Arabidopsis thaliana: one gene and its partner. The protein of the gene in region 2 interacts with the protein of the main gene of each other region in a biochemical or structural test. Each region holds a gene or a part of one and is shown on either strand. Other genes may lie near its edges. The genes, in order: NRPB11 and NRPE3B.

Region 1 (3,929 bases), on a different chromosome or scaffold from region 2:
AAAACGCACAAAAACGAAGCAGCATCCTGAACAGAGCGAGTGTGGTAGATCAAGAGGAGGAAATGAAGCTTGATGATGAATGTTTTGCTGAGTTCTACGAAAGATACATAGCTGGAGGTGGAAGAGTGTCTTACATGGAGAAGCATCTCACCAACTCCTCTGAGACTTTCACAGCTCTTAAATCACTAGATGGAGAGTATGGGCTGGTGATTGTAGGAAGAGGAGGGGGAAGAGCGAGCAGTGGGTTAACCACCGGCCTCAACGACTGGCAGCAATGTCCAGAGCTTGGTCCCATAGGTGACGTTCTTTCAGGATCAGATTTCTCACACAACACATCAATGTTAATTATTCAGCAGCAGCGTACTCGGGGTCAGCTAGAAGGGCTTCATGATGACTTCACTATACTGTGAATATCTGTACAAATGCACTTTACTTAGTAGCTTGGGAAGAGTAGTAGCTTCACCATCACAACTCTTAAAGAGACTTTGTACAATAGTTCAAACATTAAGCGGTTTATGTAGATAGAATGGTAAAAAGAAGAGGTAATCTAAGCATTACTTCATAGCATCCTGAAATGGTGTTGAAACATAGAGTTAAAAGAAGTTACAGGCCGATTTGTTTTTGATTTATACAAAGCATAACTAGGGAAAATTTCCCAAGCTCATTATTAGTCTTGATTGGTGCTTAGCAAAAGACAATGTAAAACGTTTTCCCCGATGTGCTGATGGAGAACTCCAAGTTCCTTAAAACTGATTCGAAAACTTGGCCACCTCTGCCTGAAAACACAGAAGGGTATACCATAAGACCAGGTACATCAAACAACATCAATAGCATTTGATATTCGTCTAGCTTATTAACCACATAATCAGATAAGTATATCCGAAGAGAGAAACTTATGTACCTCAAACTGGTTCTTCAAGTAGTCGAGCTCCTTGTCCAAGTCATTGATGGCCTGGTTGTATGCTTGCATTGGGGAAGACTGGCTTGTTGTGTGAATCTACATACAGAAACCACTTTCACAATTAAACAACAACATACAAGATCTTTCTATAAGTCCTTAAGCAACCAGTAATCCCAGAGGAAACTGTTAACACTAGAAGCTTAAACCAAGAAATATTCACGGTTTCCAAACAACCATACACTACTTTTAAGTTCCTAAACCAATCTTTTGGATCCTAAGGTCAATCAATGAACTGAAAAAAACGCAGAGGATAGCATTGTTCTTTCCAATTCAAAGCAACAGGCTCTACAGTAGAAGCAACTGAAAAACTTGGAACTTACCCTCACTATGATTTTGTACTTAAGAGGATGAGGAAGTTGGTATCCAGCAAACAAGACATTCTCGTCGCGATGAAGTTGCCTAAAACAAAAATTTCAGAACAGAGCTGACAAAAATTAGGGCTTTCTTCTTTCTGAGAAAAGAGTTGCAAAATCAACAAAAAGACGTACATGCGGACAATGTTTCCAATCGTATGGTCTTCTCTCTCAACCGTGAAGGAAGCAGCATTGATGATCTTCGTATCCCTATCATAAGAAACCCTAGAACATAGAAATCGAGAGGGTTTAGCACATGTAAGAGGACTATCGAGTATGATTTCGAGTGATAGAAACTTCAATTACTTCTTGGTGCCTTCAGGGACGACGAATCGCTCATATCGTTCGGGAGCATTCATGGCTTAATCGGAGATTTCAAGCTTCGCTCTCTTTTTCGCCGCAGAGAGACAGTCAAGAGTTCTTCAGTTTCTTTCTGGCAAACAAAATATAATACGACGTCGTTTTTCATAAAAGAAAAAAGATCGAATCTCCACGTGTTATATTATTATTGGTGTATACAGTTTGGGTCGGATCGGGCCGATAAAACATAATATTTCCGTTTAAGGACCTCTAGGTTTATATTATTTACACAATAAAGGACGAGTGATTTAATTCAGAAACCTAACAAAAAATTCAGGAAAAAAAGAAAAGAAGTCAGATCCCTAAAAATCGAACCCGAAAGCGTAAAACTTGAAAACCGACTATGGCCTTTCACGTAGCTTGTCCAATTACATGGTATGTTTTTTTTTCTTTCTTTTGGCGCCTCCTTTACTCGTTGGCTTGTTTGTTTTTACTAATCGAATTGTTCTAATTTGGGGGTTTTCTTCTTTCTTTCGTTCTTTCTCCGCAGCCGGAAAATTTGCTTCTGCGTTTTGGGGTTTTCTCGGAATCTTCATGGTAATGAAGTCAAGGATGTGTATCTCAAAGAGATCCATTCTCTTCAGGAGTTCGTGCGAAACCCCTGGGATGCTGAGGTTTCCAAGGACGGTACCGTTCAGATCCATGTGCCTAAGCTTGCTGTTTTCGATACTGGTCCTCGCATTGCGGCTAGAAATGTTGGTGTTGGGAGTGATTCGGCGATGGAGGTTGTTGCTGCATCATCGAATTTGGTACCAGCTAAACGCACCTTGGTGTTGCAGAAGAAGGCTGTGGAAGTTTATGCTGCGAATGATTGTTCTGGCGACTTAGAGGTTCGAATTCTTACTTGCGAAACTTGTTTTTGTGGTTAGGGGTTACTGCTATGTCAATTGAATTGAACTTGTTTATAGGAATCTGTCTTTGTGAGAAAACGTGTTTTCAGTGATGTTGATTATCTGTATCTCGTGTATGTGTTTTGGTGTTGTCCTGTCTTTTCGGGTTCTGTAATCTATGATTTATATGTAAACTACTTGTGATTTTTTGGATGATTATGAAGTCTATTCTCGTCAAGACACTAATTCAATGTTATGTCTTTCTCTATGTAGGTTTCAGTCAAAGACCTCAATGAAGAAGATCATGATCATCACAGTGCAAGCATAACATGTCACATGTGCTATTTGGTTGAAGTTGGGAAGAGTGAGAGAGCCAAGATGCTTTCTTGCAAATGTTGTGGGAAGAAGTATCATAGAAACTGCGTGAAGTCTTGGGCCCAACATAGAGGTATTGTTTCATAGGAATCTATTGTTTATGACTTATGAGTCTTTCTGCCTAGATTCTTATACCGGTTTTTGCTAGCAGATCTTTTTAATTGGAGCTCTTGGGCGTGCCCATCTTGCCGAATCTGTGAGGTATGTTCGGACACAACTTTGTGCTCAATGATTATTCTTGCTCTTTACATGCTGGGCTAGGTATGACTGCTGCTTGATTATTTGTATTCTTTTGATCATTTTTCCTTTAGGGCTGCGGGACTTTAGGGGATCCAAAAAAGTTTATGTTCTGCAAAAGATGTGATGATGCATATCATTGTGATTGCCAACATCCTCGGCACAAGGTATAGTATTTATTGCGTCTGTATAAGGTTCTTATCTTATCTTTTGCAAATTGGTTTATTTTAATCTCTGAATATTACAGAATGTTAGTTCTGGACCCTATTTGTGTCCTAAGCACACCAAATGTTACAGTTGTGAGTCTACAGTCCCTGGGAATGGCCAGAGCTTACGGTATTTAACTTTTTGCCTTGTGATACTTGAAATTTATTCATGTAAAGTGCACTATCTCTTATTATTCCTTCTAAACTTTGCAGGTGGTTTTTGGGGCATACTTGTTGTGATGCTTGTGGAAGGTTGTTTGTTAAGGGGAATTATTGTCCTGTATGTTTGAAGGTATATTTACATATTCTCCTCCTCGGTGATAGGAAAACGTGCGCTCTGTTTCCAAGCATCATATTTAGATATTCTTGGCCATAATTAATAGAGTTATGTATTTTGGAGTTGTTACCCTATACTATCCAGACATCTGTATTGCAAAAGCAGTTATTTGCAGAATTTTCTTACATTCTTTGAATTGACAAATTATTTTGATTTCATCACGTAGGTTTACAGGGACTCGGAAGCAACGCCAATGGTGTGTTGTGACTTTTGCCAGCGCTGGGTTCATTGCCAGTGTGATGGAATTAGGTACATATCGTTAATGAAATT
Region 2 (3,929 bases):
AAAGCCCTCCTATTAGTCTATCCCGCCCCGGTGTTTCGGATTCGTCTGAACATATAACAAAAAAAAAGGTCAAAAGGAGAATTCTTTGAGCTAACAATGAATGACAAAACATGGATGCTTATTTTTTTCTTTCTTACCGTTGATTGTAGCAGCAAAAAGTTTATTGTTGAAGTTGTTTGAGAATGAAAGTAACATAACAGACAAAATTAGTAAGGTACTAAAGACGATGGTTATCAGAATTTTCGTCTTCAATCCCAAACCCTTGATAACTTCGCCGGAGATCTGAAATATATGATACATGTTGACTTTTAGTTTGTGAAGATGATTCAAAAAGAGTTTACAACGCTTATATAACTTGATTACAACTTTTAATGTCAATCACTGATCAATAAGATAAAACTTTGAATATTCTAATGTGTCATTGTTAAGTTGTGACTATCAACGAACTCCAAACGTGACTCTATTTTGTTTAATAGAAGAAAAGTCTTTAAACTCCAAATTGTGATTTTGTATTATATAATATTCAGAATTATCGAAGAAACTTCCTATGGGAGAGCTCTTGTGAATTATTAACAATTTGGAATCCAAACAACTAGGATTTGTCAGGCACGTTGTGAAGACCATGACATTGATGTATTGAAATATGCAATAATTTGTAATTACATAAATATTGAGATCTGTTTGACATGCCCAATCAAAACATACAATCATGTCAATAATTAAGTGATCCCAAATTGTTTAAACGATTTACCTTAGTGATCAAAGTCCTAAACTCGTTTAAAAAACTAATGGTCAAAAGATTCCTAAAAAATTGCAAGTAGGCCACGAAACATAGAGAAAGTGATATGAACTTTAAGTTTCTAACAATACACCAATAAAATTATGGTCCAGATTTTGATCTATATGTAATAGGTTCATGAACTTAGTTTTAAAAGTCACAAACGGTATACGTAGATTATTGTTAACATGAACGACTAACAACGACATAACACGCGCAATTCATATGACTCTAGATGTTACCCTTGATATTCACATGCATGTAAAACTCTCAATATGCTATTTGAAAGTCTCCGGGGGTTGCCACGTCATCACATCGCTCCAAAGGCCCCATTTGTTTTTTCATTTTTTTTTCCTTTATTAAATGTTTTTCTCATCGACCAATCGTCCTCTGACTTTTTTTATTTTGACGAGGGAAATGTATTCAGATTCGAGCGGAACCGCGGTTGGCCCGGTAAACCCGATGACTCAGTCACTAATCCAGTTTGGCTCCAACACTACAATCCGCTAATTTTCAATCAGGTAAATTTTGAAAATCTCTAATAAATTCCGGTAATGGTATAACCCGCGATATGGTACTACTAGTTGAAACCGTCGTGCTTAAAAATGTTGATTAAAATTCAACTTTTTTTTTTTGGCTAAACTGCAAATATCATATATATGAAAAGGATGGTTTTACAAGGAAGTTAAACCCGGAATTGGTTTCTTGGCAAAATAAAAATAAAAAAGGAAAGCAATATTAGAATTTTGGACCAGACATGATCAGTGCACTTAAAGCCCCAAAACCCACTAAAATTCTATTTTTAAAAATAATTTATATTTTCTGTTGGATAAAATATATTATATGTAATCTTTTAGATTTAGGTCAAGATTTAATTGTGTCAATGAAAATAAGCGGAATAATTATGAAAATAAGCGGAATAATGATGAGTACAACTTGTACATTGTCCGAAACCATTCACATAATTACCATTAAAATTAATTATGTAAAAAAATTTTAATTGTAATTAGAAAGAATAATTTTGGAAAAACACTATATAAAGATTAAAACAACAAATTTACCATTATTCTTTATGAACCAATGCATTTTTAATCCTTTTTACTCTTTATATAATGTTTTTAATCCAAGTTACTGTTAAAAATATGGAATTTCGATTCTTTTTAATATTTGTATTTCCAAAATTATTATTATGTAATTCAAATTATAAAGATTAAAAAGTCTTAAAATAACATTGGGTCATTATTTGAATTGATGTAAACAGAAAATCCATTGTAGACATTTTGACCATTCCCAATAACTGTTATGAGAAGCCTGAAAATGCCCAGTAAACAAAAGAATAGGCCCATATAGGCCCAACTTAAACTACTATAGTTCTTCTTATACCTTTTTCCACTCTCACTCACTTTGCTCTCTCCAAATTTCTTCTTCTTCTCCGGCGAAGAAATCGAAAAGTCATTACCCTAAGAGTCCCAGAGTCGTCAGAAGGAACAGCTTTTGAAATGGACGGTGTCACCTACCAAAGATTCCCAACGGTGAAGATCCGTGAGCTTAAAGATGACTACGCCAAGTTCGAGCTTCGTGAAACCGACGTTTCAATGGCCAACGCTCTCCGTCGCGTAATGATCTCCGAAGTCCCCACCATGGCAATCCATCTCGTCAAAATCGAGGTTAATTCCTCTGTTCTCAACGACGAGTTCATTGCTCAACGACTTAGTCTCATCCCTCTCACTAGCGAGCGTGCTATGAGCATGCGGTTCTGTCAAGATTGTGAAGATTGTAATGGAGATGAACATTGCGAGTTCTGCTCTGTTGAGTTTCCCCTTAGTGCTAAGTGTGTTACTGACCAAACCCTAGATGTTACTAGTAGGGATCTCTACAGTGCTGATCCTACTGTTACTCCTGTTGATTTCACTAGTAACTCATCTACTTCTGATTCAAGCGAGCACAAGTAAGTCCCTTTTCATCATTGTAGTGATTATTTGTTCTTTATGAATTGATTGGAATTGCTAAGCTTAGATATTACACAATGCTAAACAAAATTTGACATCTTTAGATGCCCTTTGCATGAGTCTTCCTTTTGGTAGTTCTGTGGCTTTTTTTTCTGCAGTTTCTTAGACTGTTATTGTTTTGGTTTCAGGGGAATTATCATTGCGAAACTACGCAGGGGACAAGAGTTGAAGCTTAAAGCATTAGCTAGGAAAGGAATTGGGAAAGATCATGCGAAATGGTCTCCTGCAGCTACTGTTACGTATATGTATGAGCCTGACATTATTATCAATGAAGAGATGATGAACACTTTGACAGATGAGGAAAAAATTGACTTGATTGAGAGCAGTCCTACCAAAGTGTTTGGCATTGACCCAGTCACCGGACAGGTTAATTTCGATGTTCTGTAAGAATAACATCTATACAAGTTTATAGCTTTGAGACTTCAATATGATTGTACTACTTTATAGGCTACCATGCTTTGAAATATATGTATGTGATGTGGTGTATGAATTTTCTTTAAGTGTTTAGTGCGTTTAGCTCATTTCTTTTGCAGTCTATTGTTTGAATCATCACAACTGTAATTATAATACTTTGCTTCTTAGGTTGTGGTGGTTGATCCTGAAGCATACACTTACGATGAAGAAGTGATCAAGAAAGCTGAAGCAATGGGGAAACCGGGACTCATTGAGATCCATCCGAAACATGATAGTTTTGTATTCACTGTTGAGTCCACAGGTGCATTGAAGGCTTCTCAGCTGGTACTAAATGCCATTGATATCCTGAAGCAGAAGCTTGATGCAATCCGTCTCTCAGATAACACTGTAGAAGCCGATGATCAGTTTGGTGAACTCGGTGCCCATATGCGTGAAGGATGAAATCGTAGCTCTTTTTTTACCTGTTTGATCAGGGTTTAAGTTTCTTCTAGACCAGACTAATATATTAACCGTAGCGGCACTGCCTTGTTTGATAGCAACATGTAAAGTGGCAGTCTTGTCTTTGTTCCCGACCTCTGACTGATCCTTGTGTTCCTGAACCTTGTTATGTTGGGTTATTTTTAGTCGTTGAACTCTCTCGTAATTGGCGTTTTTTTTGTTGTCATTGTTAAGAATGGGTTAGTTAATATAGGAAAAAAGATTTTAATTGATATTAATTAAGGTAAAAA

Evidence for each region.
Region 1: the proteins of NRPE3B (region 2) and NRPB11 form a complex in vitro, tested with the Arabidopsis thaliana proteins (one study listed by BioGRID).

What each region holds. Positions count from the first base shown.
Region 1 is NC_003074.8:19,317,326-19,321,254, forward strand, and holds NRPB11 (DNA-directed RNA polymerase, RBP11-like protein), read right to left. Parts: upstream 1,799-3,929; 5' UTR 1,674-1,798; coding exon 1,621-1,673; intron 1,540-1,620; coding exon 1,450-1,539; intron 1,361-1,449; coding exon 1,282-1,360; intron 1,176-1,281; coding exon 1,086-1,175; intron 998-1,085; coding exon 902-997; intron 777-901; coding exon 744-776; 3' UTR 524-743; downstream 1-523. Other genes in the region: chx28 (cation/hydrogen exchanger 28), read left to right, coding at 1-410; AT3G52100 (RING/FYVE/PHD-type zinc finger family protein), read left to right, coding at 2,018-2,049, 2,165-2,504, 2,583-2,636, 2,778-2,952, 3,031-3,080, 3,191-3,283, 3,364-3,452, 3,536-3,614 and 1 more.
Region 2 is NC_003071.7:6,710,745-6,714,673, forward strand, and holds NRPE3B (DNA-directed RNA polymerase family protein), read left to right. Parts: upstream 1-2,150; 5' UTR 2,151-2,277; coding exon 2,278-2,726; intron 2,727-2,915; coding exon 2,916-3,153; coding exon of another isoform or gene 3,154-3,174; exon of another isoform or gene 3,175-3,369; coding exon 3,370-3,642; 3' UTR 3,643-3,865; downstream 3,866-3,929. Other genes in the region: FUT4 (fucosyltransferase 4), read right to left, coding at 1-45, 138-300. UniProt on the Arabidopsis thaliana protein: DNA-dependent RNA polymerase catalyzes the transcription of DNA into RNA using the four ribonucleoside triphosphates as substrates.